Arabidopsis thaliana: one gene and its partners. The protein of the gene in region 2 interacts with the protein of the main gene of each other region in a pairwise test. Each region holds a gene or a part of one and is shown on either strand. Other genes may lie near its edges.

What was found.
Region 1: the proteins of ATGP4 (region 2) and UBC28 interact in a two-hybrid assay, tested with the Arabidopsis thaliana proteins (one study listed by BioGRID).
Region 3: the proteins of ATGP4 (region 2) and UBC10 interact in a two-hybrid assay, tested with the Arabidopsis thaliana proteins (one study listed by BioGRID).
Region 4: the proteins of ATGP4 (region 2) and UBC11 interact in a two-hybrid assay, tested with the Arabidopsis thaliana proteins (one study listed by BioGRID).

What each region holds. Positions count from the first base shown.
Region 1 is NC_003070.9:23,830,634-23,838,516, reverse strand, and holds UBC28 (ubiquitin-conjugating enzyme 28), read right to left. Parts: upstream 4,967-7,883; 5' UTR 4,846-4,966; intron 4,768-4,845; 5' UTR 4,726-4,767; coding exon 4,656-4,725; intron 4,041-4,655; coding exon 3,915-4,040; intron 3,826-3,914; coding exon 3,698-3,825; intron 3,632-3,697; coding exon 3,527-3,631; intron 3,441-3,526; coding exon 3,297-3,440; 3' UTR 2,981-3,296; downstream 1-2,980. Other genes in the region: AT1G64235 (Bifunctional inhibitor/lipid-transfer protein/seed storage 2S albumin superfamily protein), read right to left, coding at 1,897-2,268; TOM7-2 (translocase of outer membrane 7 kDa subunit 2), read left to right, coding at 5,196-5,429; AT1G64210 (Leucine-rich repeat protein kinase family protein), read right to left, coding at 5,654-6,240, 6,308-7,484. UniProt on the Arabidopsis thaliana protein: Accepts the ubiquitin from the E1 complex and catalyzes its covalent attachment to other proteins.
Region 2 is NC_003075.7:12,847,528-12,855,426, forward strand, and holds ATGP4 (Ubiquitin family protein), read right to left. Parts: upstream 4,284-7,899; 5' UTR 3,919-4,283; exon of another isoform or gene 3,823-3,918; 5' UTR 3,723-3,822; coding exon 3,593-3,722; intron 3,341-3,592; coding exon 3,170-3,340; intron 2,502-3,169; coding exon 2,446-2,501; 3' UTR 2,124-2,445; downstream 1-2,123. Other genes in the region: UMAMIT16-psi (nodulin MtN21 /EamA-like transporter family protein), read right to left, coding at 54-285, 396-512, 734-849; AMY1 (alpha-amylase-like protein), read right to left, coding at 4,582-4,833, 4,906-5,271, 5,496-5,926, 5,998-6,130, 6,209-6,298; SWEET14 (Nodulin MtN3 family protein), read right to left, coding at 7,103-7,369, 7,737-7,856. UniProt on the Arabidopsis thaliana protein: May serve as docking site to facilitate the association of other proteins to the plasma membrane.
Region 3 is NC_003076.8:21,629,697-21,637,436, forward strand, and holds UBC10 (ubiquitin-conjugating enzyme 10), read right to left. Parts: upstream 4,552-7,740; 5' UTR 4,403-4,551; intron 4,331-4,402; exon of another isoform or gene 4,304-4,330; 5' UTR 4,294-4,303; coding exon 4,224-4,293; intron 3,867-4,223; coding exon 3,739-3,866; intron 3,623-3,738; coding exon 3,518-3,622; coding exon of another isoform or gene 3,491-3,517; exon of another isoform or gene 3,250-3,490; coding exon 3,106-3,249; 3' UTR 2,871-3,105; exon of another isoform or gene 2,752-2,870; intron 2,351-2,751; 3' UTR 2,325-2,350; downstream 1-2,324. Other genes in the region: AT5G53310 (myosin heavy chain-like protein), read left to right, coding at 4,961-5,183, 5,396-5,714, 6,219-6,277, 6,367-6,398; AT5G53320 (Leucine-rich repeat protein kinase family protein), read right to left, coding at 6,757-7,382, 7,462-7,740. UniProt on the Arabidopsis thaliana protein: Accepts the ubiquitin from the E1 complex and catalyzes its covalent attachment to other proteins. Mediates the selective degradation of short-lived and abnormal proteins.
Region 4 is NC_003074.8:2,637,180-2,644,789, reverse strand, and holds UBC11 (ubiquitin-conjugating enzyme 11), read right to left. Parts: upstream 3,779-7,610; 5' UTR 3,565-3,778; exon of another isoform or gene 3,425-3,564; intron 3,323-3,424; 5' UTR 3,304-3,322; coding exon 3,234-3,303; intron 2,866-3,233; coding exon 2,738-2,865; intron 2,656-2,737; coding exon 2,551-2,655; intron 2,445-2,550; coding exon 2,301-2,444; 3' UTR 1,871-2,300; downstream 1-1,870. Other genes in the region: UBC12 (ubiquitin-conjugating enzyme 12), read right to left, coding at 245-388, 503-607, 699-829, 1,239-1,308; AT3G08680 (Leucine-rich repeat protein kinase family protein), read right to left, coding at 4,200-4,840, 4,918-6,199. UniProt on the Arabidopsis thaliana protein: Accepts the ubiquitin from the E1 complex and catalyzes its covalent attachment to other proteins. Mediates the selective degradation of short-lived and abnormal proteins.

The DNA of each region.
Region 1 (7,883 bases), on a different chromosome or scaffold from region 2:
GGATGTATTCTGATCACACGTTCAAACTCATCTGCTTCAAACTCCATATAGGAATCTTGTGGCTCAATGGCACAACTACAAGTATGTGGACAAGTATACTTAATTATCTCGATAAGTCCGTGCTTTTCCATTCTAGCGGCCTCAAGCGTCCACTTGCATTTCCATCTGGCGCACTCAAACATATACTCATCCTTCTCAGCCTCTCGCATTACGCAACTTCGCTGCCCTCTAAAGGAACACCAGTCCACTGCCTTCTTCAGCCCATCAATATCTTTGAAGCACAATCCTACCCGCAAGTCATGATCATCAAGCCACAAACTAGAAAGACACGGTTTGGAAACACCAGAACTGGAATCTTGATTCAAATCCTTGAGGGAGATATTGTTATCCTGTGTCAAATTAACCACTTGCGCCACTGCATCTGAACTTGGATTTTTATCTGTCATGTCACCATCTCTACCGTTTCCAATGTCGACATCTTCTTCATCTTCAATCCACCCGTTACTGTTGCCCTTCTCTAACTTAACAGGTATATCCATCCTCTGTCTTTTCAAGGAACTACCGGGATTTGCCAACAACGGCGAACGAGCAGCAGACACAACAACCCCATCAGATTTCACTTCCAAATACAGTTCTACATTTTTAATAGAAGGATGTTTGCTTGGGACTTCAAGCATTGTCTCCAAACTAGAGTCGTTCACCACAGGCAAAAGTAGAAAATGAAGCATTGATTGCGGTTGAACAGCTGAAGGAAACCTACCGAAAATTCTAACCTTTGATCTCCGATCATTTACATCTAATCCAGTAAGAAGATACAGCTGATCCAACAATATGCTTAACTCAGTCTTTCTCTTAACTTTGATCATTCTAGGAGTTGATCTGTCATATACCCCATTGCTACCATACTCAATGCGACCGTTCCAGTAACACAACACCGGAACCTCCATTTCAGCCATGAGCACACCAAACCTGCAAGGAATCCAAAGTAAAAATGTAAACTTTATTGCTAAATCCTTGTTATGCACAACCCAAGAAGAAACAGCAGCCACCTCCTATCACTAAAACAACAACATGAAAGGCCTAAGTCCCTAAAATGTATGGAATGGTACATCAAATTCTACAAACAAACAAAAAACTAAATACAAAGCAAAATAAAAAATTCAGGGGATAAAACCCTAACATGCAAACCCTAAAAATTATAAAGAACCCCGAAAGATGAAAAATCAATTTTGATCTCTAAAACAACAACAACAAGGCACCGGAGCTGATAAATCCAGCAAAAAATTGTTTTAAAAAACCCTAGAAAACAAAACACAACAGTATAGTCGTCTAAGTTATAGATGTTTACATACCTGAGAAGGTAAAGGAGTATTAGGAAGTTTGGATTTTCAGAAATGGAAGTAATTTGAGTTGCATTAAGGAATTTCCCGGCGATGTCGTCACGACTGAGGAAGACAACTACACTCTCACTCTCGCACAGCTTTGCAGAATAAGAAATAAAGAGTTCGGAAACATCAAAGTGTTGGGTCGAAAATAGAAAGCCCACTAATAAAATTGCCTGACTTTTGACTACGAGAGAGATGATCTAACGGGAGATCCAACGGTTATCAACGAGACAAGTCACTCTGGGGATGAAAATTAAGAGAGTCAACATTGTTCTTTTTTTTTTTTTTTGGTAAAAAGTAAAAACATTGTTCTTTTTATCCCACATTTTTATCATATTATTACGTTTATGAATGTTAGCATGGACAATCCAAACTTTTGTATCTATAAGAGTTCATGATTTAATATGAAATCATTGATTCTTACAAGCAAGGAATATGGGAAAGGTGGAGAAAATTTCCCTAAATTGTAAACTATCTATAATAGGGTTAATATAAAAAAAGAGTCAAAGACTCAACGTATCTTTGGTGTGGTGTCTCGAAGTACTGGGGGGTTGCTTGTTCGCATCGCATTGTTGTTATTTCCACATTTTAGGTTATGAATACCACAAGACTTGAGACGAGAGCTGAGGACATTGGTCTTGATCTTACTGGTTTTAGTTACATCACAAAGACATGGTTGTTGCTCTTTCAAAAATTTACAACATTCGGTCGATATCTTTAATCCACTATTAACAACGTCCAAGCAAGTCTGAATCCTACTTTCTTCACATGATTCTCTGTCCCTCTTGGATCTACTTCCGCCTGCACCGATAGCTTTTGTTGGAAGCGGTAATGATGCCAAGAGAATGACGAATGTAATAAGCAACAATCCGACGGTCTTCATGCATGTATATATAGTTGTTTCTTTTAGATATACCTATAGCAAATATTTTGGATTCCTTTTGTTTTCTGTGCAAAACATGAGAATTTGTTTAGGTATTTCTTGGATAATGAAGGATTCCAATTGCATGGTATTGCGTAATGAACGCGTTTTTCCTTGTTAATCAACATGAACGTAATTAGTTGCTATGTAAATAACTAAATATAGCCTAAATGATTGGCTAAATCACTACATGAATTATTTTCAGTATTTAGAATATTTCATTGGTTAATAATAATACACCATGATTTACAGATTTTACATTCAAATCATCATAAATTAAATGAAAATTCAGATTGAATGAAAAGTTGGATGATCTAGCTAACCAATAAATCTACAGTTTATTGTTTCGTAATAATATGCCTTTTGATTTCGCTTTCCATTTCATAATGAGGTAACTTAATTCAATGGTAGATAAAGTGTACCTTTATTCTTTGATTTGAGGTATTTTTAAATTAATGCACATATGGAATCATTGATCCCTTACAAGCAAGGGAAATGATAAAGGTGGAGAAAATTTTCTGTAGGGTAAATTTATCACTTTGCATTTCATACAAGGGTAAATTTCGAATTAATATGTTAATCAACATCTTCAAAATCATGCAATTTTTATTTTATTTTTCTGCAAAAATGGTTTTATTTCAATATTTTCTCAAACACGGAATTTTGAAAATTTGGTAGCAAATGTCAAATGTTCCCATTTAATCATCGTCATACTTTGTTAGGTAAAAGCTCAAAGTTTCCAGCTTTACATAAATAATTTTTCTTATAATTTTTTGGAAAAAGCATAGAAACAAAGATAGGGAACATATGGATAATAAAGAGGTGAAGTAATGTTTTTGTTTGAGATTAAAGAGGTTTCAAACAAAGAGATGATAAAACATAGGAATCTAACTTATTTCATGGAAGATCCCTATGTGAAGAAGTCCTCTCTCTTTCTCTCTCTCTCTCTATTAAAACCGAGTCTGTGAGGGATCAAAGGACACAAACTTTCATCCCATTGCATATTTCTGAGTCCAGCTTCTCGCAGTAGACTCATACTTTGCTCTATCGGTTTTGTACATGTGAGCAATCTCTGGAACCAATGGATCATCTGGGTTTGGGTCCGTTAACAATGAACATATCGAAAGCAAAACCTATAAATTCACAAGAGATTTGATTAAAATAAGAGGAGATTCATTATATATCATCCACTGCTATTGGTTAAAGAGTGCTTTTTCACCTTCGATATGGTGAGTGCAGGACTCCATTGTTCTTTCAAAATGTCAAGGCAAATGCTTCCATTGCTGTTGACATTAGGGTGGAACACTTTTGTCCTGAATGCAACCTGCAAGAAAAAGAGCATTTTGAATTCCAGTTCATGATTTCAGTTTGGTAACAATGAATAATTTACCTTTGGTGGTTTGAAAGGATAATCCGGAGGGAAGTGAATGGTTACGAGAAAGACACCGCCTGAATAAGGACTATCAGATGGACCCATTATTGTAGCTTGCCAATGAAACATGTCTTCAGCAACTGGGCCTTGAAGATTTCACAATTGTTCATAGAAGGAAAAAATAGAAAGATTAGTCTTTTAAACATGATGATCTATGGCATTTACTGAAATACACACAACAAAACATGTGCCATAGCAATGTCCTGAGACTTCTCTAGCAGAAGAATGCATGAACAGTTTGAGAATCTCCGACAACAATCCTCTAACTCTATTAAGACCAACAATTTCGACGCATTATCCACTTATCATATATTTTAATAAACAAAACAAACATGTATAAACCTGAATGCAATAGATAACTAAGAAAGACTATCAGTGCGAGGTATCAAGTCTGTAAGATCCGTTATGGATACTTGGATAAACAAGGCAGCATACAACACCAAAAGCTTAATTCTAAGAAAATTCACAACTTTCAATAGCTATTTCCTAGACTATGATCATAAGATAACTGCAACGACCAATCTCAACTTTGTTCTAAGAAAAATCTCAACTTCCAACTGTTATCTTATTAATTATGATCAATAGTATCCAGGATGGGTAAATGGATCCCAATTTTTAACAGCTATCTTCTAGACTATGATTATTAGAAAGCTGTAATTTTCAATCAAGGATCAGTACAGCCATAAATTTGTTCTGTTCTAAGAAAAATCTCAACTTTCAATTGGTATCTTCTAAACTAAGATCATAACTTAGCGGCAATTACCACCTCAAGATCTCTAGATAACTTCGTTATAAAATTACGAAGACTAAAAAAGATTTCATTTTTTTGTTTGCTTAAAGATAAGATTATAAGATCTAACAACAAAGCTCAAAAATAGATCAGACACGATTTACGAGAGGAGAGGTAAAGACTAACCAGCACTGCAGGAAGTTGGAGGATCCTTCTGGAGATCCTTGAGCTCTTTCAAGATCCTTTTCGAAGCCATTTCTCAACCAAAAAAAAACTCCTAGATCCAAAAAACCAAACCCTAGATAGATTCAGCAACGCAACAAACAAAGGAAAAGCAAAGGTTGAAAATTTCCGATAAAGGATTGAGCTTTTTTACCTCAAGACAGATCCTCCAAACTCGGTTTTGACGATTCACTTCCTGCAGATGATTTTTGAGAAAGAGACAGAGAGAGCCTTTGAGACCTAACGAATAAACAAAGAGAGAGAAATTTTATTTATGTATGCTTCAAATATAAATAATGACAGCTATTTTCCAGCGAGCCAGAGAATCATTATTGGATAAACATACTTTTAATAAAAAATAAAGGACCCTCTGAGTTAGACAGAGTGTTTCATAGAGGCTTTAAAAAGGTGCTTAAACCCTTTAGGGTTTTTGTCTTCCAGCTAAATCGACTCTGACACAGAGATAAGCAGAGAGAGAGAGAGAGAGTTCTGAGATCAGAATCAATGGCGGCTAAAAGTACGTTGAAGATCAAAGGCAAAGCAAAACCATCAAAGGGATCATCATCATCTTCGTCCTCCTCTGCATCATCAAAGTACAAGGTCTTCAAGGATTGGACCAACTGGTCATTACAGAAAGCCAAAGTCGCGACTCACTATGGTTTCATCCCTCTGATCATCATCATCGGCATGAACTCAGATCCTAAACCTCATCTTTTTCACCTCCTCTCTCCCGTTTAATCCACAAATTGGATCTTCTTCGTAATGTTCTTCTTAGATGCTTTTACTTTTTTTCCCAAATTTGTTCTGTTTTCTTCGTTTTATGAAATGGATTTATATTTGTTTCTGATTCTATAATTCAAAGTCTCATTCTTTTTTGCATGATTCAAATTCAATAAAATCAAATGATCTATGAAGAAACAAAGAATTTGCTTTAATGGTTACTACTACTAGTTTGTGTTGTCTCACTCTGCATCAACTGATCGAATATCTTCAATCAATTTCAAAACTTGAGCTATATGAGGTCTTTCTTGTTGCTTCAGAGCAACACAAGCCAATCCTATTTGCAACATCTCAACCATCTCCTCCTCGAAACCACCTGATTGACTCAATATCTCCATATCAAACACTTCTCCAGTCCACTCTTTAGCCACCACAGATCTTATCCAGCTAGCTAAGTCCATGTTCTCACCTCCTGTTGGTACTAATTCTGCTTGACTCACTGGTGATTTCCCTGTCAAGAGCTCCAGTAATACCACACCGAAGCTGTATACATCCGAAAACTGTGTGCTTCTTCTTGTGTCTGTTATTTCAGGTGCATGGTAGCCAGAAGTAAGGCAAGTGGTTTGAGGAAGTGATCTCATGATTGTCGTCAAGCCAACATCGCCTATGCAGCCATAGCATTGTGAGTCTAAGAAGATGTTTGAGGATTTGATGTTTCCATGTATGAACTTCCCTTCGTGGATTTTAGCTAGCCCTCTCGCTGCACCGGTTGCTATTCGCAGTCTAGCATCCCAATCTAACGGTACTCGATGATACCTTCCTCTGTTTCCTGCAAAGAAAATGGAACCTTGTAGTTTCGATTTATCATCAGAATGAGAGCAATGAAAATAACTAACCGTGCAGTATTTCGAAGAGGCTTCCATGATTGTAATAGCTATAAACCGCGAGCTTATCGTCTTTGGAGTAGTAGTAAGCCTTTAGCTCAGCTACATTTTCATGTCTGATCATACCAATGATCTCCATTTGTTGCTCAAACTCTCGTCTTCCAACGACAACTTCCTTCAATCGTTTTACAACGACCGTGCTCATGTCCTCCATTGTTACCTTATAGGTTGTACCAAAAGCACCCTTCCCCAAAACTTCTGCAGATGAGCTTAGCAAATCATCTAAATCAAATAAGTGGTTTCTTCCACCAAAGAAGATGATCTTCCCGCCTTCTTCAGTGTTATCATCTCTAGATGTCCAGTTTCCTGGAGGAGAAGACGAGTCTCTCTTTCGCAACTTCCCGGAGATTCTAGTCTTCCCGAAACAAGTGATCATTATGAATGATAATCCGGAAACACACAAAACGCAAGCTGCAGACAGAATCAGCAAGAAAGCAAGTTGGCTTAACCCGAAAGGAGTCTTGCGTTGTTTCTTCCTCTCGGTAAGGTTGTTGCCAGAAAAAGCTGAACTTTGGAATCTTTGAAGAGACTTTGGTATTGTACCGATGAGCTTGTTGTTGGACAAGTTGATCTGACTCAGTTTTGGAAGATGAAGATTTGGAATTTCCCCTGAGAATGAATTGTTTGCAAGATTCAAGACTTGAAGGCTAGTCAATCCTGAAAGAGAGGTTGGGATGCTTCCGTTGAATCCATTGTTAGACAGATCAAGAACCTTAAGATTCTTCAACTCCGAGAAGATAGCTAGTAGTGGACCTGAGAGGTGGTTATGTTGTAGGTAGAGATGAGTCAAGCTCTTGAGATTTGTGAAATCAGAAGGGAAGTCTCCGGTGAAATGGTTCTTTCTAAGGCTTAGAAACTTGAGAGAAGAGAGACGACTGATGGTGAAAGGAGGAATCAAACCGTTGAATCCAACCGCAGGCAATCTAACGGATACAATTCGATCTCCGTTTTCGTTGCAGGTAACACCGGTCCAGCTATGACAAACGTCTGAGCTCTGGTTCCAATGGAGACGAGAAGAATTGAAACTAGACAAGAAATGAAGCAAAGCTTTCTTGTCGTCTTCAAGAGTCTGAGAGGAAATCAGAACAAAACAGAGAATCAAAGAGAAGAAGAACAAGAAGATTTGCATTGTGAAGAAACTAGTTTTTGTCTCTAACTGTAAAACAGAGAAATTTTCTTTAGCAGAAGAATTTGTTTCTGATTAAAAAAATAGATAAAAGAGTGATTAGAAAGATACGCCGGCAGGTTTTAGCCGGCAAAAAAGTCTTCTCTTATATAAGCTGAGAAAACTAAAAAAACCTTGGAGCCATTAAAACCATTGAGACCGTTTCTCTGAGTTTTGATCGTTGGGTGTATTTAATTCTTGCTTCAAGAAAATTCATACCAAACGGCTAATTTCTCTTAACTCTATTCCTAAAGCCTGTAACGTAAGCGCGGTAAAATTCAGAGGCTTGGCATACAATTATCAACAAACAAAAAGAGCTGAAATGTTCTCTTTTTTTTTTTTTTTTTTTTTTTTTTTTGATCA
Region 2 (7,899 bases):
AGCCAACTTAGTAAATTTCTGTAAAGAAACATTGTGACCTTTGGGCTTTTTACCTGAAGAATAACATAGAAGCTCCAACTCAAGCAGCTGCACACTAGCATAAGCCCTCCTCTTAGGATGTCCTCATCATGTCTGTGGATCTTCTTTGCGTGCAGCAAGCTGTTCCATGGCAATGGAATCACCTGGCCTCTCCAAAATGTCATCAGCATTGCTCCAGCAACCGCCACACACGTTCCAAGAACTTTTGCTTTTCCTCGATGACTGTGAATAGCCACTTTCTCCAACCTTGCAAAAGGGTACGAGACATTACATGTTGGAACTAAAGTCAAAACACACATACTGATTTGATTATTACTCATACAGAACTAAATGTTTGAAAGAAAATAGAAGGCTACCTGAATATACAGGCCATCACAAATGTAATGGCCGGGAGTAGGTTGAACATTCCGGAAGTGAAAGTGGGCGTTGTGAGCTGCATGCCTGTATAGTACAAGTTTTGCTCCAATAGTGGCCTGTAAGAAAACATTTGATTAAACCTCTAATATATTGATGAATGTGATGATTCATACAAACTATAAGTAACTTACTCGAAAATGCTCATGATAACTATCTGAGCAAAGATTCTTTTAGTCAGGTCTTGTATTCCTATAGATTTGAGATTATTATTAGCACCAGAAACAAAACAAAACAACAAAAAAAACAGAGAAAACATACAATAAGTTATGGTTGGTACCTCTCAAATACTAAAGCAAGGGGTGATAGAATTGAAAATGCAATAACCAGACGCGCAGCAACAAAGATTCTCGGAGAAAGCCCGTAATCTAGAGCATACTTTGCAATGACCGACATTATGGATAAACCAATCTGAATTGAAACAGCCGCAACTACTGGTAGGATGTTATGATCATGGCTTCTTCTTCTTCTACGTCTTTTTTTTTTGGTTAAATTATATTCAAAAAAAAAAAAAAAAACGTTTTAGATCCGTTTTTCTTAAGTTTTTAGTAGAAATTACTTAAAAACCATTGCCTAGGAAAATAAAAATAGAACACAAAGCTTTTACCTGAGGAACTGAGTACTGAAAGCAGCTTAGTCTCGTGAAGCAAACCAGCCTTTGTCGACTGTCGTAGCGTCTGTCCTCGGTTGATTGAATTGTCCAGATCTGATTACGAATATATTTATCTATCCATCGGATGAGGTTGGTTGCAATTCCTGGTTGCACTTCTTCTTCGTCTTTTTCTTCTTCTTCTTTAAAAATAAAATAAAATTTAAAAGTGTGGTCTCAGTGGTGTTCGTCAATGGAGGAGGAGGTGCAGGAAGAAAATATTCTAAAGAAAATGCTTCCAGCTCGTTTTTACTTTAATGCTATTATAGTGTGTGGTTTTTACGCTTGTTTATCTCCAAGCTCCTTGTTTTGGTAATATGACATTAACGTCATTATGACTCTTTAACTACCAACTCATACAGTATAAATACCGTAGTTAGCTACTTATACATGTCGTATACGCTTATACTACTCAGATTGACCGGACGATTCGTCACCGGCTTTCGTGTCTAGGGTTTACCGACAGCTCTCTTTTTCCATTGGGCCCTATCATAATTTATCCATCAACAGCCCAATCTTTTTAGCGCCACGCATAAAGCTTGGCTCCCTTTTTTGGTTTTTTTTCTCCTCGTTTTAAATGTTAAAACTAGGTTGTTTTACTTGTGTTTTGATATTTTTAACTATTGTTTGTAGTACATGTGTTTGATTCAATTTAGTTTCATATTGCCATCTTTCTGCAATTCTTTTTTTTTTTAATGTAGATAAGTACATACCATTGTTATGACTTTTTTTAGTTTATGTTGGTATTTATAAGTAGCTAGGTTATGACTTGTGTCATATATCATGTGTTATTACATCATGCCTCTGTTCGAGACTACGTCGCCTTCATCCATCACTACTCTTCCTGTCTGTCTGATCGGAACCGCAACTCCATCCTCTTACCTTTTCCCAACCTAAAACAAAAAGAGATGAATTTTCTGTTCGAAGTGATGTTCAGAGTTCATGAATTCATTAATTACATTTACGGGCCAGCCAGAATTTGGCCATTTCGCAAATTCACCTATACTAAAACGGTGTGAAAGGAAGAACGAAAAATACAAAGGCACAATCTTTTTTAAAAATAGATAGATATATAATTATCTTCATCACACGTAACGTAATGGACCTAGTAACCTATACAGCTTCCATACATTGGGAAAGTAAGAAGAAAAAACAAATAAGGGACAAAGAGTTACTTGAAAAGAATTTATAGTTCATTTTCTACACATTCAAAGATGATAAATAACTCCACAGCTTAAAGGGAAGCTTTACTTTACTTTTAGCTTTCTTTTTTTGATTTTGTTTTCTTCTGTACCGGAAGAATTGAAACGATGTGTATGATAGATACATTGGTCTTCCTCCCTTCACAAAATGGTGCATGTGCAGATTACTGCCTTTGGTGCTTTATCAACCTTCTTCTCTGTTTAATCAAAAACCAGTATTCAACTGTTAGTTAGCTTTCATCAACAAACGTCTTAGTAATCACAAACTCACTTTCCACGACTTTCTCAAGTTTGTGAAAAAACAAATTATGCAGACAAATCTCAAAGACTGGCAAAAGTTTTCAGTGGGGTTTACAAGGAGATGACGACCAATAATGAATTCAGGTATTCCTTTCCTCATGGCATGCTTTGCTAAGCTTAGAGCTGATTTTTGCTTTATTTCACACAAAGAACACACCAGAAACCTAGGAATGAATTCTAGGGTATCCTTTACTCTCTCTCAAGACAAACAAACCAAATTTAGACAAAACCACTAATCACCTGATAGGTTGATTGAGTCAGTACCATAGGCTGTTAGAAAGAAAAAGAATGTACTGATCTTAGTCACCGACTAACTTTCTGATGTGCATGAACACTCTTACGAAATCTTACCAGCCTCAATTAATATAAGTATGACTAGAGCTAGATATTATAAGACGTAAAGTTGAGCCAGATAAATGAATACCATAATCCATACAGTTGACAAGATAAATACCACAAGACTAATGAAAGATTGAGGAACCTCTAAGGACACATATATCTCCATGAAACGGGAATTCTCTGATATAAAAGACATGAAGAACATTACACATAGACAAACAACTACCTGTTTTGGATTTAGCTAGAGAAGGCTGTACAACAACATGCATCACAATGACTCCACCAGCAATATCTCCAAATGGTGTCTTACACTGCCCAACAGTCTTGTTGTTCTCCAAGATCTTACCCGAGCTTATCAGCTTCACTTCGTTTATCCCCTTTGGAACAACTGTTTTGCCTAACCAAAACCACAAAAAAATTGATGCTTGGATCAACCTCAAATCACAGAGACTTGGCTTTTCTCATACATCAAGCTTATAACATCTCAAATGAGCTAATAATAATTCATCTACAGCTCTAAATTTCGAATTTCTACCGACAATTGCAGGATTCAGTGACAATCAACACGAAATTCGTGGGAAGATCATGAATAAAACCAGGATCAGATTGGGGAAAAAGGGGCACCGATTCAAAAAACCTTAAAACTAACCTTTGGGCCAATCAGAGACGACCCTCTGCTTCAAAAAGTCAACAGTAGAAGCCGCAGAATACCGAAAAGGCCCGATATCGGAGCCATCGTACAACCTGAATTTGATATCTATCGATTCTTCCTCCGGCATATCCGTTGACTTCTCTCTGACCTCCGATTACCAACCAAATTCCAGCTCCGATCACCAATCCCGCTTCTCAAACACAACTATTTCAGATCTGAAAATAGGTCTGAAAAAAAGTAGACAGGAACGAGAATCAGAGCTCGCTTCGAAACGGGATAGAACAAAAAAACAAAAAACAAAAAAGAGGAAGAATCAAACACACAGAATCGAAGCTTCCTCCGAAATCGTGTTTCGGATCTTTGATTTTGAGGTGTGAAAAAAGCGAAAGAAGGAAGAAGAAAGAGCTTGCTTTTTTCAAGAGTCACCAAATATCAAAGTTCCTTCTCAAGCCGACGGTTTTCACTTTTTTCCTTCCTTTTTTTTTTCCCCTTTCTTTTCGTCGTCACTTCTACTTCTTCTCAAGCCGACGTCTTCAACTTTTATTGTCCTAGCCAAAAACGCTGTCGTTTTATTCGAATTTACCTGTCTAACTGTTCCCACTTCCCACCATACTTTTTTTTTCTTCTTCTACAATAATATAATTCGTTCTGATTTTGGCAGTATTGTGTGGTTAAGACATCATAATTCTGATTTTAGTAGGGCTCCAAATCTTATACGAGTCGGCCAATATATAATATATTAGTTGTATGCAACAAAACAAAACGATGGAAACTTTCCAATACTTATTTCTACAAGTTGACACTTCTTCACTTGAACTCTTTTCTTTCACTGGAGTTGTATCCTTTAACACCACTAGTGCTCTTTTTATTTAGGTATTCTTTATCATTTTATATTTCATTATACATATCTTTAGATACTGCCAAAATGTTTTATTAAAAAGGAAGAAGATACATTCGATTACTTTTCTTATGATTCGAGTTATGCGTTACTTCTTCTCCCAGACAGCAAAGTCAAGGCCTGAATAAGCTAAAGCAAAATTAGAAGGAACAAGTGTTCCCACATCTTGCTTTGGTCCAATCTTCATGATAACTTTATCATCAATCATAGCCAAGTAGAGATCCGCCTCTGCCGCTTTTATCGTTACAGAGCTTGTGCTACCAATCCCATTTTTGTTCCTGATAGCCACCAGCTTTGAGATGCTCTCTTTTAGTCCCCATTCTATGTAATGATTATAAAACTGCAACAAAAATAACATATCAACAAGATTGTAGTTGTAAATAGTATAGCTACATACTAAAATGATACTTACAATGCAAGGAGTTCCTGGATGAGTAAGTATATAAACGTATCCAAGCAAGACTTTATCAGAAGGGAAAACCCACGTTCTGAATGTATCATGGTTATCTATGAATGTGACAGCGTTTCCGGGCATGATTCCTATCATACCAGGCGGTTTTCCCTGCGAGTCCTTTAGTCTCCAAAGCTCACCTTTGACAGCAGACTGTAAGATCCCTTTGGTGGTGAAATCAAAAGCTGTCAACACACCACCACCCGCTTCCTCGATCCACTGTTTGAGACCCGACCGATGCTCGTTCTGATCATAGTCTAGTTTCCCGTCTCCTCCGTACTTCATATCGTCCCATTTCTCACCCACCGCAAAATCCGGTGATGTATTCTGTGTATCCAAAAACAGAGGAATTTATCACATAATCAGTAGTGAACTTTCTTATATATTTCTTATTGATTGCATTGACTTATGTTTCTTATATACTAAATAGTAGTAAATAACCCTATCAACCTATGATACTTATATATACTAATAGTAAATAATTATCTCAACCTATGTTTCTTATATACTAATACTGTTGTCTGATATTTGAGAATTCATATGTGATTTACCTGAACGTATAATTTGGTGATGGAAGATGCATAACCTCGAACATAATCAAATCTCCAACCATGGAATCCGATTTCAGTTTTAAGCCAATTCATCCATTCGGACAACTCTTTCTGAACTCTAGGGTTAAGGTGGTCGATGTCGGGCGCTCCATCAAAATCTCCTCCGGTGTCGAGGTTTCCGGTACCGGGAAATTTAGGGTCATTGCGGCAGACAAAGGAAGGATCCCAATCAAGACGATCATCGGAAGTCCCACCTTCGAAATAACAGTATCCACATTTATCGTCTTTCCTCTCAGCTGTTCTGTGGTTAATCACTATATCAGCCAAAGCTTTTATTCCTTTTTGATTCAACGCTTTGATTAACGATTTCAGTTCCGCCTCTGAACCGTATTTGGAGCTGTTTAGATCGTATAGCTTTCCCGGTAAGTAACCTGAGGAATGAAGATTGCGTGAGTAACAAGATTGGTATGTGAATGTGTAAAGAGTAAAGCAGAAATGGAACCTTCAGGAGCAACGGATTGAGAAGGAGGAGGAAGCCAAAGATGAGTGATTCCAGCGTTGGCTATGTCGTCAATGGAGTTGTGGAGAGAATTGTAGAATCCTCCTTCTTTCTTCCATGACTCCCAATTGAAACTCTGTTTCACAATTGAAAGAAACCCAATAAGTGAGTGTGTAGAGTCTGTGTATGTAAAGAAGCAAAACTAAAGACGAACCTGAAACAATAAGGTGGAGGAAAACGTGAAGGTTGGAAAGACGATGAAGAAAAGAAGAGAAGAGAAGAGTAACGTATGGAGAGATGTCATTGTCTGATTGTGAATGGTTTGCTTCTTCTATCTGCTTTGTGTGTTTATATTGAGACCCTAAACCTTGTAGAGTTACGTAACCTAAACGACACGGCCTTGTCATATCTGATATATTTCTTCATCAGTCTATTTTTCTTGGGAATGAAATGTGAATACATTTACAAGGAGTTATGGCAAAAAATCTACTCTGTCTGATCCTAGCTCTAAAATGAGTCAAGTATGGTCTCCCTTTAGACCTCCATTTGTCACGTTTTGAGTGGACAATAGGTTGAGAATATTCTAGGGGAAAAAATGATATTTGGAGCTAATATATGTTGTTTGGGCTGTTAAAAAAAGTGATTGGGCCGTAACATTAACTTTTCCTAGAGGAATCATAAAACGAAGAGGCTAGAGTACTTGTTATTTATTAGACGTTAGGGTAAAATAGAATTGAGAAGTACTAGGTAACTCAATTCTGGTAGTCCAGATGAATTCTGAAGTATTGTCTACATGTGATGTACACCATAATGATTTTTTTTTAAAACATCTGACCTGTGAATGATCATGTTTATCTAACTTACTTTGAATTTTCATTTCCTTTTTAATTAGCCGGACTAATAAACTTTTAAGTATTACTGAGAACAGAGGCATCAAAAACTATTTTACAAAATTCTAAACGACGCACATAAATTTTTGAAGGATAGTACAATTTCGAGATATTTCGAAAGAAGATGATGAGAAAATAAAAGACAAATTAGGAAACCAGACTCAACAGTTCAACATTAAAGTCAATCACTAATTCATAATTGAAAACTAAATCTTGACTTAGTTTGGCATTTTCTTGTCCATCTGGTCCTCTAAGTCACCACCATGAGTTTTAATAGGATGACTCACGTCAGGATTAGTCTGCGGCTGAACCGTAAGATCACCAGAAGCCGGAGTAGATGAAAGCTTGACCATGTTGATGGAATGATCCGACACCGTTTTGGGCTTCTCTGTCTCATCAACCACTAGTGGAGTTTTGTAGTACTTGAATATGACGTATAGAATCATTTGGACTGCTCCGAGAAACGCACCCAATATATTTGGAAGCTTCAAATCATAAAAAAGTAATCACATCATCAGTAACAATCCCACTAATCATTTTTTGATAGGGAACAGTAATCCTATTAATCGCCGACAACCTAAAAAACTTTATATAATTGTACTCTCGGTTTCTTTTACGTGATCATATAATATATGATTGTAAGCATAAAGCAAAAGTAGCGTACGGCTCAAATCATTCATTCGTCGTCTTTAAATAGATGGAATTTGGGCAAAGAGACAAAAGGTGGTGGAAACTCTTTTGCCTTTAACATAAACCACACATAATAATATATGATACTATGTTTGAGCTGTCCATTTTCATATACTAAAGAAAAAGATTCACATATAATATAAGAAAAAAAGAGAGACTCACCGCAACGTAGAAGTCTTTAATAGCAAGACCGTAGAAGAGCCACGTAATGGCGCTGATTGTAAGAAACAATGATAGAGAGAAAGGCATAAACTCCACACTCTTTGTTCGTATCACCACTCTCTGCGTCATCATTTTATACAATTTCACATGTTAGAGAACTATA
Region 3 (7,740 bases), on a different chromosome or scaffold from region 2:
TCTCTCTTACCCTAAAAAAATGTATAATTATCCAAGTTATGGAGACTTTGGAGGTAGATTTATCATTAGTCTAATCACTGACACGTGTAGTTGAATTCTTATATGTTACTTTCTATGATTTCAACTTTCAAATAAGAGGTTTTGCATGTTCAGAAAAATTAAATAATCATAAACAAAATTCGATTGTTATATAGTATAGTAAAAGACTAATGGTTAGATTCTTTAGAAAACGTAATTTATCGAAAGGAAGACATCTTCGAAGTGGTCGTGTAAGAGACTCGTTTTTTTTTTTTGCCTTTTTCTTAAAAGCTGATTTTTAGTTAATTTTAAAATTATTTTCCGTATTTCGGTACAAAAAGAAAATTTACGGTGTGGGTAGAAAATTAATATTAAAGTCATCATTTACAAATTTAAAAACTTTACTCGTACAAAACTAATCACTAGTGGGAATTGAACAGTACAAGATGTTTTTTCTCATTCTATAACAATCAATATATGAGTACGAGATATTAACAAGTTGTTTTATTTCTGTTAAGTGATATTGCGCGAAACTGAAAACGGAATGGTGAGTATTATTTTATAATAGTGCAACATAGGTATTAGTTAATAGTTATTAACTAGTGGCAAATGAAGAATTATTAAGTATAAGACAAAATTATTCAATGCAACTGCAATGAAACCCCGAGGGAAAGAAAGACCCTGTGTGGTTCTGCTATTTCCATGTGGCTGCTAGTGGTCCATCATACGTCAACTATACTTAGCAAGAAAAATTAAAAATCAAGGTTAAAATGGAAATTGAAGTAGTTTCGATTGTTTTATATTAATGTTTTGAGATAGTGCTTGAGTAGTGGAAACAATAAAACCATTAGGAATAACCGAACAGACCTCGAAAGAAGCCTCGGTAAGCCCAAATCTCGTATTGGTGTTTCAAGAAAATAACGTAAAATCACAAGTTTTTACAAACAAGCAAATCACAAAACTTTTATAAATTCAAAAGCTTACAATAACAAAAAGAAAAAAACAAGCAAATTACAAAGCTTACAAGAACTTTAGAAATTTGTTACAAAATTTGTCAAATATTATAAATTTAGTTACAAAATTTTAATCTACAACTTCAAAATCAAAAGAATCCTATTGTCGTTTAAACATCATCGATGTTCACCACTGTCAATTTCACATCCCGGTGTTCTCTAAAACATAAAGAGGAGACATAGGAAATAAAAGAGAAATTAAGTAGTTCAAAGAATAATCGGTTATTAGTTTCTTATAACTCCTAGGAAAAGCTATTCTAAATTTTTTTTAACAAAACATACTCCTTATAATTTTGTTTATTACTGACTTACACAATGACGAATCAATGAGAAACAAATATTTCGATTGTAAAATGTTTTGCTAAATTGTGGAGATATATATATTTGTTTTCTATGAACATATCATTTAATATATAATTTAGTTTATTTCACTAATAAAAAAAATTACAAACTGTAAAATAGTTAAAAACAACATTATATAAAATGAAATTTTACAAAACGAATTTACAATTAAATAGTAAGATGAACCCTCCAAATATCTAATCCTATAATAGAACATAATACATTAACATTATAATTAAATTTGGTTTTGTTAAAGGAGAATTGAATGTCTTACTGCTTACTAGTTTAGGGAAGGAGAAACCGAATAGGGAAATTAATGCAGCCGACATTTTTGACGTCGAATAGTTAATTGGTTGTATTGTCTCTTTAACCGTGCATTGTTACAATTATTAAAGTATTTTAACATTTTGGAATATGGAACACCTATCTTAACTAAACCAAAAAACATGGAACACTGATTTTTATTTTATTTCTTTCAGTCGACACCAATTGTTTGAATTTTGCGTTTGAATGTCTAGAGTTCTTAGCCTACAAGTTTCATGGATATCTAAATCAAACCTATAGTCCCTATGATTTCTTATTTTGTTAAACTTAAAGCAGATGTTTAATTTGGTCTTTTGCTCTTAACTAGAGTAAGTTTTGCCTGTTGGTTATCATTTCTAAGTTCAAACTGATACTCTTCTAATACACTGATCCGTGGGATAATGATAAATTTTGAAAAAAAGATAGTAACATACTGTATTTTCTTATAGAGAAGAGAAATTCAAAAATATTCTAATAGCACAACACTATTAAATGTATTTTTCTCTTACCTGTGGACTTGTAAAGATAATTTGTTAGGGGTGATACTTTAAGCTCGGACGAGCGATGGATCTTTGGTCCATCGAAGCCCATCTACATAACTTGAGTTCAGTCCATACCCATTCATCTATAGATTATCTGTAGTATTAGATTCTATACCACTCTTTTTTTTTTTTCTGTTGATTCTATACCACTCACATTCCACATAATCAGGCTATTTATTATTTTATTAAATACTGTATTGTCAAATAATTTGACTTCACCAAATAACATGTTTTCGTCAAACTCATGATATGATGGATGATACGAATAAGAAAACTGTTATAACTTATAAACAAAATAGGGTGTTTAGTGGTTTTGTACTAGTGAATCATTGCTGAGTTACTACTTGAGTTCAAACATGCATAATACATGTCGTTTAATGGATATAGGATTGTTTGTGATATTATTGCATACTTAAAATGTTTGTTGCATCACGTATGTAGTCCACAATCCACAGGCGCACCTTGCAAGGTACAAAACTCATTTTCTACAACATACGTGCTACAACAGAACGCATTGTCACCATGACGGGCATTGGCCACAACGATTAACTCAGAGTAAATTTGAAGACCAGTTGGATAAGTTTGAAGACCAGTTGGATAAGTTTGAAGACTAGTTTGATAAATTTGAACAACTCGTAGCAACTCATCACACAACGAAAACATCAAATCATAATTTCACCACAAGAAGAAACAACAGAAGATGATCAGATTCTAGTTTTCACAAAGATGATGTTTTTTTTTGTTTCGTTTAAAACAAGACCCACTTCATTTGGTCCTGTCTTCAGAAAGTTAAAAGGACACAAAGAGATGTCTATCGAATCATACATAGAAATTAAGGCAGATTTTTTTCTTCATAAAGAGATAATTTAGTAGGTGGGATTTTCCATTTAGCCCATGGCATACTTCTGAGTCCAGCTTCGTGCAGTGGACTCGTACTTGTTCTTGTCAGTCTTGTACATGTGAGCTATCTCGGGCACCAAAGGATCATCCGGGTTTGGATCGGTTAACAAAGAACAGATCGATAGCAGCACCTGTTAATTGCAAAGCAGTTGTTAGAACTGATCGATAACAAACAACAATTTTTCATCCTCAATGAGTCTAATAAGCTTAATGTTTCAGAGACAACCGAAATGAGTCAAAGTTTAATGAAGACAGCTCAATCTTATCACTTCAACTAGGGATTAAGGAGCAAAAGCATGTTTGATAAGAGTAGATTACTGCCTCTGAAGCAGTTTTAATAGAGAGTATTTGTTTTAAGGTGGGTTTCTATTGTTAACAAAAGAATAAGAGAAACCGAACCTTGGAAATGGTGAGCGCAGGACTCCACTGCTCCTTCAAGATGTCGAGGCAAATGCTACCGTTGCTGTTAATGTTGGGATGGAACACCTTGGTCCTAAAGGCCACCTAGATATCATCACACACACCATAATGAAGAACAATGAGATAATGAAGCAACCATAAAGAACATACGAGCTTTGGCAAAACATACTTGATAACAATTCTCAAAATATTGGAATCACCTTAGGAGGCTTGAATGGGTAATCCGGAGGGAAATGGATGGTTACAAGGAAAACACCTCCAGCATAAGGACTCTCTGAAGGACCCATTATCGTTGCCTGCCAGTGAAACATGTCTTCAGCAACAGGACCTGTACACAGAAAGATAAACTCAATCTCACACCACATAAGCACAAGGAAACAAAGAGACAGTTTTTTCTTCACAAGTATAACCAGACCCCAGAAACTAAGACAATGAAACGAGTTTTAAGCCTTTATAAGATCTTCACCAGAGAAATCAGAAACGAGATAAACCAAATTTAGTTCTAGCCAGATCTTAAAAAGTAAAACGAGTACTTAGCTCGAGATCGGTACCAAACAACACATAAACACACAAATCCAAACAAATCCAAGCATAAGCGAACAAAAAAACCGGATCTATCAACACCAGCTCAGGGAAACAAAACTTTTTAAGATGAAATCTCAAAATCCAAACACGAAACAAGTACCTGCGCTACATGATGTAGGTGGATCCTTCTGGAGATCCTTCAATTCCTTCAAGATCCGCTTCGACGCCATATCCAAAAACCTAAAAATCAAAAATCAAACAAAGATTCTAAACGAATCAGAGAAGCTATAAATCCGTGAGAAATATAAGTAATAGATCCAAAAGCTACAGAGACAATACCTTTGATTTTTCGCGTAATCGGATTGGCGAGGTTTTCGCCTTTTTCTTCTCGTATTAGAGAGAAGAAGAACCAAGACTTAGGGGAAAGGAAGAAAATAGAGATGGTGGTGGACGAAAGACGAAGAATACGAATTATTCTCTGTGCTCACGTCTACAATAAATACCGTGTGGATTATTTACTTTCTTTGACTAGTGGACTCTACTTTTAACCCTCTTATTATTCGGTGGACCTTGAAACGACGCGGCGCTTCTTAATTAAAACATCAAGTTGCATTGAAACGACATCGTCTTAAAAAGTCATCTAATCTAACGGTTGATATCCTATCCTTAAATCAAGTGGTATTGAAATCTAACGGCTGCGAGTTTATTATAAATTTCAAATCAAGTGGCATCGAAACGCGTTGCGATGAAGTCATATAATCTAACGGCTGAGATTTGTATCTTTTAATCGATCGAATCATTTGAAGCCACGTCTTCTCTCTCACTTTGGAGATTTTTCTAACGCAGAATCTGAGAATAAGCTAACCGATTCCGATTTCGAGTTCGTCGCCGGGAGGAATGAACCGGTTGAAGGAGCAAAAGGGGCCGAAGTTCGACGGCGAAGAATCACCTCCACCTGATTTTGATGAAGATCGAAGTGTGGGTGAGGTAGACGGAGGAGATCACACGCCATTCGCTGGAGGTAAAGTCAGAAGGAAAGCGTCTCGCTATAGAGAGCATCGTGGTGACTATCTTCACGTTTCTTCTCGTCCTGGATTGATGCGAATTCTGGAGAAACAAGGTTAGGTTTCTCCAAACTTTTGGTTTTTATTTGATGAATTTGAGATTGAGAGGCAATTTGTGAATCGAAGAACTTGGAGGAATAGTTGAATCAGCTGTAGAATTGTGGCATCGATTTATAGTTTCTTATGTGGTTGTTTGGATTGCTAATGATTGGATTCACCTTGAATTGCATGTGTTTGATGTTGAGAAGGTGATTCATTGTTGTTATAGGTGATACATCGATTCTTTTTGCTGATAAAGTTTTGAAGTTCACCGGCTCGGGGAAGATGAAACGGCGTATTTTTATCCTCACTGATTTTGCGATCTATCTAATTGATCCCGAGACTGAAGCTATGACCAGGAGAATTGCTTTGTCATCAGTAGAGAAGATGTGTTTAAGCAAATTGAGTGATAACTTCTTCGCTATCATTATTCCCACGGAATATGATCTCTTCATGGCCAGCACTAGGAAGACTGAGCTTGTTCAGGTCATGGTAGATGTCACTAAAAGTGCTTCTGACTATGAACTTGAAGTGCTTCTCTCTAACAGGTAACTATGACCGCAATTTTTGGTTTTTGATGTCTCCTCTTTGAATGCTAATACCATGCACATGAGAATTGTTTATTTTCATCTCATTTCCTGATATTGACACTACAGGTATTGTGTTACTGAGAACTGATGTGGGTCTTTTTAGTCTCTGAAACTTAGTGAGCTCTGTTTCTTAAGTGACTTGGCTATTAGTTAGTGGTGAGACCAGAGGATCCACTTGTACCTATTAATCATATCTATATTTATGGAAGAAGATAAAGAATTAACACTTTTAGGAGATAACTACTGAAATTAGTACGTTGAGATACAAATGGTTACAACTATATTTTAAATACTGTTAGATGACATATTCTAGTTTTGATTGAAACTGTTCTCAAATGGCAATCACGATAATAGTCCGTAGAAACATTTTGTATATCTCCCATATCGTAAAACTCAGCTATTGGTTTATATGTGCAGTTTGTGTTTTATACTGATAATGGTTTCTCCTTGTGTTCATTCCAGATTTGAGTACAATGCATCTGCCTCATTAGTAAAGGAAGTTTCTTTTGAGGAATCTGAAGGTTTGTATGAATAAGATTCTGGATATTGTGATTCAATCTAAGTTTGTGGTTAGTTTATTTGCTCATCAAGCTCTACCACTATTTTTCAGGGGGTATCAAGACCAAATTTGTGTGGAAGTGACTACATCTCAACTTTCCTCGCTGTTCATAAACTTTGGAGGGACCACTAGTAAGATCTGTTTCGACTTTCGAATGTCTTTTCTGTTGGTTACTAATAGCTGAAATCATGGTGGTATGTGTTGTTTATTATATTCTGTTTCGACTTTCGAAAATGTGAATGGATTCTTTCATGTAACACAAGACCAGTAGTGTCAATATAAGAAACAAATGGTTACAAGTATATTTCAAATATTGTTAGAAGACAGATTCTAGTTTTGTTGGAAACGGTTCTCAAATGGCAATCACGATAATCGTCTGTAGAAATATTGAAATCTTTTTCTGAATGGTCAATACATTAAGGAAAGATGGAATAGTCTTTCTTATAGTATATACGGAGATCCTGATAGACTTCCAATCGGAGTTGTTGTCGCACCTGTGGAAACCTCTGATCTGTATCCGCTGGCTAGTTTCTCTGGTCTTATCTCTTCCACCATTCTCACTACCTCAATCATGTTTGGTCTCTTCTCTGGTAATCTCGCTGTGCAAACCATACCAACCTGAAGCATCTCCACCATCTCTTCCTCTACTTGGGTACACCTCAAAAGCTCCTCATCAAACACCTCTCCTGTCCATTCTTCTCTAACCACCGAGTTCACCCACCTCACCAGGTTTGCCACTTCTGATTTTCCTGTTAGTACCTCGAATATCAATATCCCGAAACTATACACATCAGACGGTTGAGTCCCTTTTCTTGTGTCTGTTATCTCTGGTGCACGATAGCCAACTGCATGCCGCGGTAATGAATGCATCAGTGTAGCCATTCCTGTTCCAGATATGCAGCCATATCCTTTCCCGTTGAGGAAAATGTTTGAGGATTTTATGTTCCCGTGGACTAGTTTACCTCCGCTTTGTGAGTGGATATGAGCTACTCCTCTTGCTGTTCCATACACCATATTCAGTCTAGTTTCCCATTCTAGACGCTTCCGATCCCTGAGACCTTTCTGACCTGAGTATCGATACACATATAGACCAACTTAGCTATGTAAGATACTGTATAAATTCAAATGGTGGCATTATCAACATACCGTGTAGCAATGTTGAAAGACTTCCATGTTCGTAGTAATCATAAACCACGAGCTTCTCATCCTTAGAGTAGAAATATCCTCTTAAAGTGGCAACATTCTCATGCTTGATGCTGCCAATATTTTCGATTTGCTGCTCGAATTCCCGTTGAGGTACACTCACTTCCTTGATCCTTTTCACAACGATGGTCGCAGAGTCCTCGAGATCAACCTTGTAGGTTGTCCCAAACGGGCCCTTCCCTAAAACTTCTGCAGAAGCTCTCAACAAGTCTTCTAGGTCAA
Region 4 (7,610 bases), on a different chromosome or scaffold from region 2:
TTTACGAGGTTGTTGCAATAGCAGTTTCCAATTAAAATGGAATTGGAAAAATAAGAATATGATCAGAGCACTGAAGACAAGTAAAAAAGAGCAGCTAAAAAAGTCTTTCGATTATGATCGTCACATCATAGCAGCCATTGCTAAAACTAACCAAAAAACAGAAAAGGTAAATGTTTTTTCTTCAGTTTTCTATTTCCATTGCCAAGTAAGACATCCTTTCCTTGTCTAGACCACCTTTGTCTTATCATCCCATCGCGTACTTCTGTGTCCATTTTTGTGCAGTTGACTCGTATTTTGATTTATCTACCTTGTAGAGATGAGCTATCTCCGGCACAAGAGGATCATTTGGGTTCGGGTCAGTCAGCAGCGAGCAAATCGACAACAAAACCTATATAATTCCACACCATCAATATCACTCGCACAAAGTTCACCAATATACTAGTTTTTTTTTTACAGAACATGACTTTGGTAAAAAATAGTAGTAGAGAGACAAAACTCAAACCTTGGATGTGGTAGGAGCAGGACTCCATTGCTCTTTCAATATGTCAAGGCAAATGCTTCCTTTGCTGTCGATGTTTGGGTGGTACACCTTAGTCTTGAAATTCACCTGCAAAATCGTACACTCGCTAATAAGCCTGATGATCATAGATTTTCATTACACATCAGATGATTAAATTAGTGTTGAAAAAACACAACACCTTTGGTGGCTTGAAAGGATAATCCGAAGAGAAATCAATAGAAACCGTAAATACGCCTCCGGAATACGGACTGTCATGCGGTCCCATGATAGTTGCTTGCCAATGGAATATGTCCTCCTCAGCCACAGGACCTATAAGAAAGACGTTGCAATCAGACCCATTTATTCATCGAAAAAGACAATAAAACCTGCATGATCAAGTGATACTTCTTATAGAACAGAGACAAATTGGCAGAATAAATAAGAAGTACAAAAGGAGACACTTGAAATAAAAGCAAGCTAAACCTCTGGATATTCTTAATCGTACCAGGCAAAGGTTTAACGAGTTTTCTCGAATACAAAAAAAAAAAAAAAAAAGGTTCATGCAGAGTACATATATATAACAGAACCAAAGAGAGTCTAACAAATCATAGCGTTACCAAAAAAAACTCAGAAACATATAATGTGGATTGATGAAATAAAAGTGTGACATATATCAAACCCTAAAAGTGTTTTTAGTGTGAATCTATCAGTCAAAATCAGCCAAGAAAAGGGAGATTACCTGCGCTACAGTTTGCTGGAGGATGTCTCTGCATATCCCTCAGTTCCCTTGAAATCCTCTTAGAAGCCATGCTTTTAGACTCGAAAACCTGCGGACGAGATAAGCAACACACAATGAGTATTAAGGAATTCAACTAAGAACATAACATATCATAGAGGAAGACGAATAAAACAATACATACGTAACGTAAGTGATGATAAACCCTAAGAAGTAGTTGAAACAGAAAACATAAAGGAAAGATGGATCAAAAGAAACATACCACAACAGGAGATTGAATCTTTTTTTCAAGGCCACTACAAAAGAGAGAAGAGATTCGTGAAAAGCCTAAAACCCTCTACTTCTTTTTTATAGTCGGAGAATACAAGTCAGTCTCGAGGCTTCTGATTCTGTCGGCAAGTACCGCCTGACCTATTAGTAGGGACCCATGGCGGATGATATTGGAAAATTGCAACCAAAGATATGTTTATTTTCTAAAACACCTATTCTTGGTTTGGTCTAAAGATATTCTTGGTTTGGTCTATAGATATGATATTTCCTAAAACAGCTATTGTAAACAATATGGAAAATTTCTTAAGTGTTTTATTAGAACCATGTACACTTTTGAAATATATTAAAAAAATTAAGAAAATCAATAATTTAATCATAAATATACCAACTTTGGTATAAGTTAATAGAAGATTAGGAACGAGTTTTGTATTTGGGAGCAATGTATAATCCTAACTATGGAAGGCTCATAGTTGGTTTGGTTTTGGTTGTGGTTGATCCATGTGTAGATTGGAACCCCTTATGTCAAGAGTGTACCAAAACAGTCCAAACATTGCGTTTGGGGCGATTAGAATTGCAGTTTCCTGCAACCAAGTGAGGAGAGGGAAACAAGAGAATAAAAGTAGACCCAACAATCGAAATTAATACTAGTTTATAGTGATCAGAACAGAAGAGGAGTAAGAGCAGCTAAGTTGTTCGATACTTGCTAACGTTTGATAAACCAAACAAGTGCATTTTTTTTAAGTTATTATTTTATTCCGATGCGCAATAACATATCCTTTGCTTTGTCTTATATCATCAACCCATTGCGTACTTTTGTGTCCAGCTTCTCGCAGTTGACTCGTACTTGGATCTATCTGTCTTGTACATGTGAGCTATCTCCGGCACAAGAGGATCATCTGGGTTTGGGTCAGTCAACAGCGAGCAAATCGACAACAGAACCTAATTTCCACAGCATCAATATCGCTCGCGTTAACACACAAAATTGGCTAAGATAGTAACATAATTTGTGTTAAAATGGTAGGAGTAGAGATACACAAACTCGAACCTTAGAGATAGTAAGAGCAGGGCTCCATTGCTCTTTCAAAATATCAAGGCAAATACTTCCATTGCTATTGATGTTTGGATGGTACACCTTAGTCTTAAAAGACACCTGCAAGATCGATGGATTCACATCATAAGATCAATGATAAAAACCGATGAATCATAAAGAGTCTCATAACACAACACATTACCTTTGGTGGCTTGAAAGGATAATCCGGAGGGAAATGAATAGAAACCAAAAACACTCCTCCGGCATACGGACTTTCAGGAGGTCCCATGATAGTGGCTTGCCAATGGAACATGTCCTCAGCCACCGGACCTAAAACAACGTGACAACAAAATTACATCAATAAAGACATATTAGCAGGAGCTACAAAAGGAGACACTTTGACATAAACTCAAAACCATGCAGAGTTCTGGATACTTGTCAAATACAGGACAGGAAAGGGTAAATATGAAGTGCATAACAGACAACAAAATCCATGAGATCAGCGTTAATCAAAGAGTCTAGCAAACCAAAGCTTTTACCAAAAAAAAAATCAGAAGCATAACATGGATTGAGGAAATAAAGTATGATACTTGATACCCTAACCTACATCAATCTAGTGAGAGAGTAAGGAACCTAATTCAGAGTCATTAGTGCCAGGTAAGTAATTGGTTAAAATCAGATTAGAAAAGGGAGATTACCAGCGCTGCAGTTTGAAGGAGGATCCTTCTGCAGATCCTTGAGCTCCTTCAAGATCCTCTTAGAAGCCATGCGTCAGAGACGAGAAAACCTGTGGAAACCCCCAACAAGACCAGAATATTATTGAACAGAGGATATAACTTAAGACAATCAACTTAAGAACAAAACAGATCACAGTGGAAGAACCAGAGACCGAACAAAACAACACAAAACGTAAGTGATCGGAAACCCTATTATTAAGCGGTGGAAACTAATCGCGCAAAACAAAAACAGAGGACGATTCGGGAGAGAAAGAAATTAGGGTTTAACCAAAGAGAAATGGTGGAATTAGACCTGGAAGAAGGACGGACAACACAAAGCGAGAGCTTCTTTATCGGGAGAGAAGAGAATCGAGAATAAAAATGGAGTGCAAAGGAGAAAACGAAACTTGTTACTTTGCCTTTCTTTATAGTCAGAGAATCTAAAACAAGTCAGTCTCGAAGCTTCTGATTCTATCAGCAAGTACCGCCTCACCTATTTCACCTTTTCTATATATTTATTAATTCTCGTGCCAAAAGTTTTTTTATTTCACCAATTAGGACTCATGCAGTCAAAAAATACAGAGCAATGATTTTATTTTTATTTATTTACTCATGTAGTTTATCTTTTTGAGACGATAAATTTCACATATAATTGTATCACTATTTCAGTTAGATTTTCAAACACCCAAAGACTCTTGTGATTTAATTTAAACGAATCATACAACAACAAATGAAAATTCAAAACTAGTCGCACACTTATAACCAATCTAAGAACTACAACCATTCATGGTGAGGGTTTCAATTACACTACAATTCCAGATATTGATTGGAATAAATTATGCAGTCAGACATAGAGAACTAAAATAAACGGTTTATGAAGAAGAAGAAGAAGGAAAAGCAAAAATAAATAATGATTTGAGAATGAGAGAAAGAGAATTTAAAACCAATCTAAACCGGGCTATCAGAGCTTCTGATCATCTCCGGCGAGGAGGCTCTGTTACCAGAACCAGGACCGGACCCTGAAGGTCGAATCTCCTCCATCATGTTAACCACTTCCTCCATTGAAGGCCTAGAATCTGGATGCTTAGACACACATGCCATTGCTATCTGCAACATCTGCACCATTTCTTCCTCTACGTTGTGTTGCTGCTTGATCAGCTCTACGTCAAACACTTCTCCAGTCCACTCCTCTCTCACCACTGATTGCACCCACTTTGGCAGATCCACCACTTCTTCATGCCCAGTAGTCTTCCCTGCTGCTTTCCCAGTCAGCATTTCTAGCAACAGTACACCAAAGCTGTATACGTCGGACTTCTGGGTATGTTTCCGTGTTTCTATGGCCTCGGGTGCTCTGTAACCTAAGCTTCTTGATGGGATCAAGGTGTGATGGCTCATCAATGGAGCTATACCGAAATCAGAGACACAGACATGAAGTTCTTGGGTTAAGAGGACATTTGGTGATTTGATGTTTCCATGGAGGAGTTTAGCACCAGATGCAGAATGGATGTGAGAAATTCCCCTCGCAGCTTCCAAACAGATCCTTAACCTTGTTTCCCAGTCCAACGCTGCTCTTCCTCCCTCATTGTTTCCTGCATAGAATTCATCTAAAGTGTTACTTTAAAGCCACTTTTTATAACCTTGAGTAACATGTAAAACATCATATTACCATGAAGCAGCATGGAGAAATTGCCCCCTTGGTAGTAATCATACACGAGTAGCTTCTCGTCTTTTGAAAAGTAATAGGCACGGAGAGGAGCTACATTCACGTGTGGACTGATCCTTCCCACGGCTTCCATCTGCTGCTCGAACTCCCGTTTCCCAGCTGCTACTTCTTTCAGTCTCTTCACCACCACCGTGGTTCCTTCCTCTAAGATGGCCTTATACGTTGTGCCATAGCTTCCTTTCCCTAAAACTTCAGCCGAGGCTCTGAGCAAGTCCTCAAGATCAAAGTTATATGAACTTCCTTCAAAGAAGACCAGCTTGTTCTTCTCCGCCTCTTGCACCCCACTCCCAAACTCCTCAGCCTTGTTGTCACTCCTCCCGGGTTTAGCTTTTGGCACTGCGGTGCTATCTTGCCCGCCATCTCTTTTCTTGGCACAGCAAAGGGTTATGATGGCAAGAATGATAAACAACAGAACCGAACCTCCAACTGCAATGCCCACAATAGCACCAGTGGAGAGAACTTTTTTGGCGGTACCACGACCTATATTGGTTGTACCAGGACCTTCTGTTGGTGTTGTCGGTGAAGGAGATGGTGCAGTGGTGTTTTCTGGGCATGGAGTCAGAGGAGCACCGCATAGAAGGCTATTACCTTGAAATGAGGATGCTGGGAAGGACTTGACAGAAGATGGAACTGACCCGTTAAGGTTATTGAAGCTCAAATTCAAGTATTTAAGGCGAGGAGGGAGGTTAGGAATTGGACCACTAAGAGAATTGTTTTGCAGGCTGAGATCAGTGAGCTGGGTAAGGTTTTGTAGACTCGTGGGAATGTTTCCCGAGAGCGAGTTGGCGGAGAGATCAAGATTAACGAGGCGATGAGAAAGGACGGGAGGGATAGTACCAGAAAAGTTGTTTTCATGAAAGTATAGTGATCGGATAAAAGGAAGTGAAAGAATGACAGATGGAATGTTCCCTTGAAGGTGGTTGGATCTAAGGCTAATGATCCTGAGGGCATCAAGCTTCTCAAATGTTTTCTCTGGTAAAGGTCCATAAAGTCCAGATCCAGGCAAACGGAGTGCGGTTACACGGGCGTTGTTCTTGGAGCAGGTGATACCAGTCCAAGAGGCACAGATTGGAATAGTGGAGTTCCAGTTGAGTTTGCGACTGTGAGGAACAAGAGATGCAAACTCAAGCAGTGCTTGCTTGTCCGATTCTATGTCTGCAGACAAACAACGGGAAACAAAAGTCGTGACCAAGAGGAAGAGAAACGCCGCAATAATCTTCATCATCAGTCCTTTGTTACACTCTCAGGCTCGCTCACATCAAAGCTTTCTCATTCAACAGCAACTGCAAGAGAACACAAAACACATCATGTAATGATTTATAGCCACATAAAAGCTAAACTCAATATGAGAAATGTATCTATGGATAAAGTAGCCAAGAATGACACCTACACATCACAGGTATCATGAGTAAAAAGATCATCAACACAACGAAAAGCTTCCTTAATAATGACAAAGATACAATAGCGTAATTTCTCAAACCAAAGTGGGAATGCTGATGATAAAGTCCAAAGCAACATTACTCGATTCTCAAATCAAAATATGAAATTATGGAAGCTATATGCACACATTGATTCAATCAGCTGAAATCTGTTTGACTTCAAATAATAAATCTTCACAAAAAAAACAAATCCAATTACGAAAGTAACTAATTTTAGACATAAATGTGTGCACAGATACTTGATTAACCCAGATCTGCAATCTACAAACTAGGGTTTCTCCAGCTAAGCTAAACGGAGTAATTGAAATTGAGAAAGAAGAAATCTTTTAAAGGAATAAACAACGAAGCTAATAAACCCCAAAACAAGAGGGAAAACAGAGATCGAAAGTGAGAGAGACCTTAGAGGTTGATTCAGAGGAGAATGGTTCAGGACATTGGTGAGCTGATCGTAGAAGAAGAAGAAGACAAGTGAGAGAGAGTGGAGAATAAATGCCAAAGGAAATGGGATAGTGGAGAAATCACTTTTTAACAACAACGGCATTTCGTGAAGAAGAAGCTAGAGCTAAAGTCAAAAGCAGAAAAGAGTGAGGAATCTGGAATCGCCATTGATGCAGATTCAGTGACACAACCCCAAGTGATTGAAGATTCAGAAGAGAGAGAGTGGAGATTTTTGAGAAATAAGCGTTTTGGGGTTTCTGGAGTATGGAAGCTTCGGCGTGACGCCGACGGAGAAACGTAAATCTCGATGTTACAGTTTCAGATTCCAATCTCTCTTCTTCTTCTCTGTACTCCGATTTGCTTTGCTCTCTTTGGCTTTAAGTCCCCCTTTGACTCTCTTCCGAATTTTTTAGATTTTTTTTTTATTGCTAAGCTCAATTAAATATTTGTCCTTTTGTTAATTTCTCTTTGTTTTTATTCTAAATGAATTTATACATAAGAGCTTTTAATAAACGGCATTTACTGAATTCCCAACATTTAATTTCCTTATTCTTTTAAAAGCATCGTAATGTTCTATTGAATGGGTCACCAGTTGATTAAATAAATATATGGCTTCTTTTTTGAAAATATGCAATGTATAAATGAAAATGGATGATTGTGATATTCGTTAAACAATAAGAAGATAAAAGTATTTCAAGATCAAAAAATGGGCAAGGAAAACAACAAGAGTGGGGAATATTCAACAAATTATTATATGTT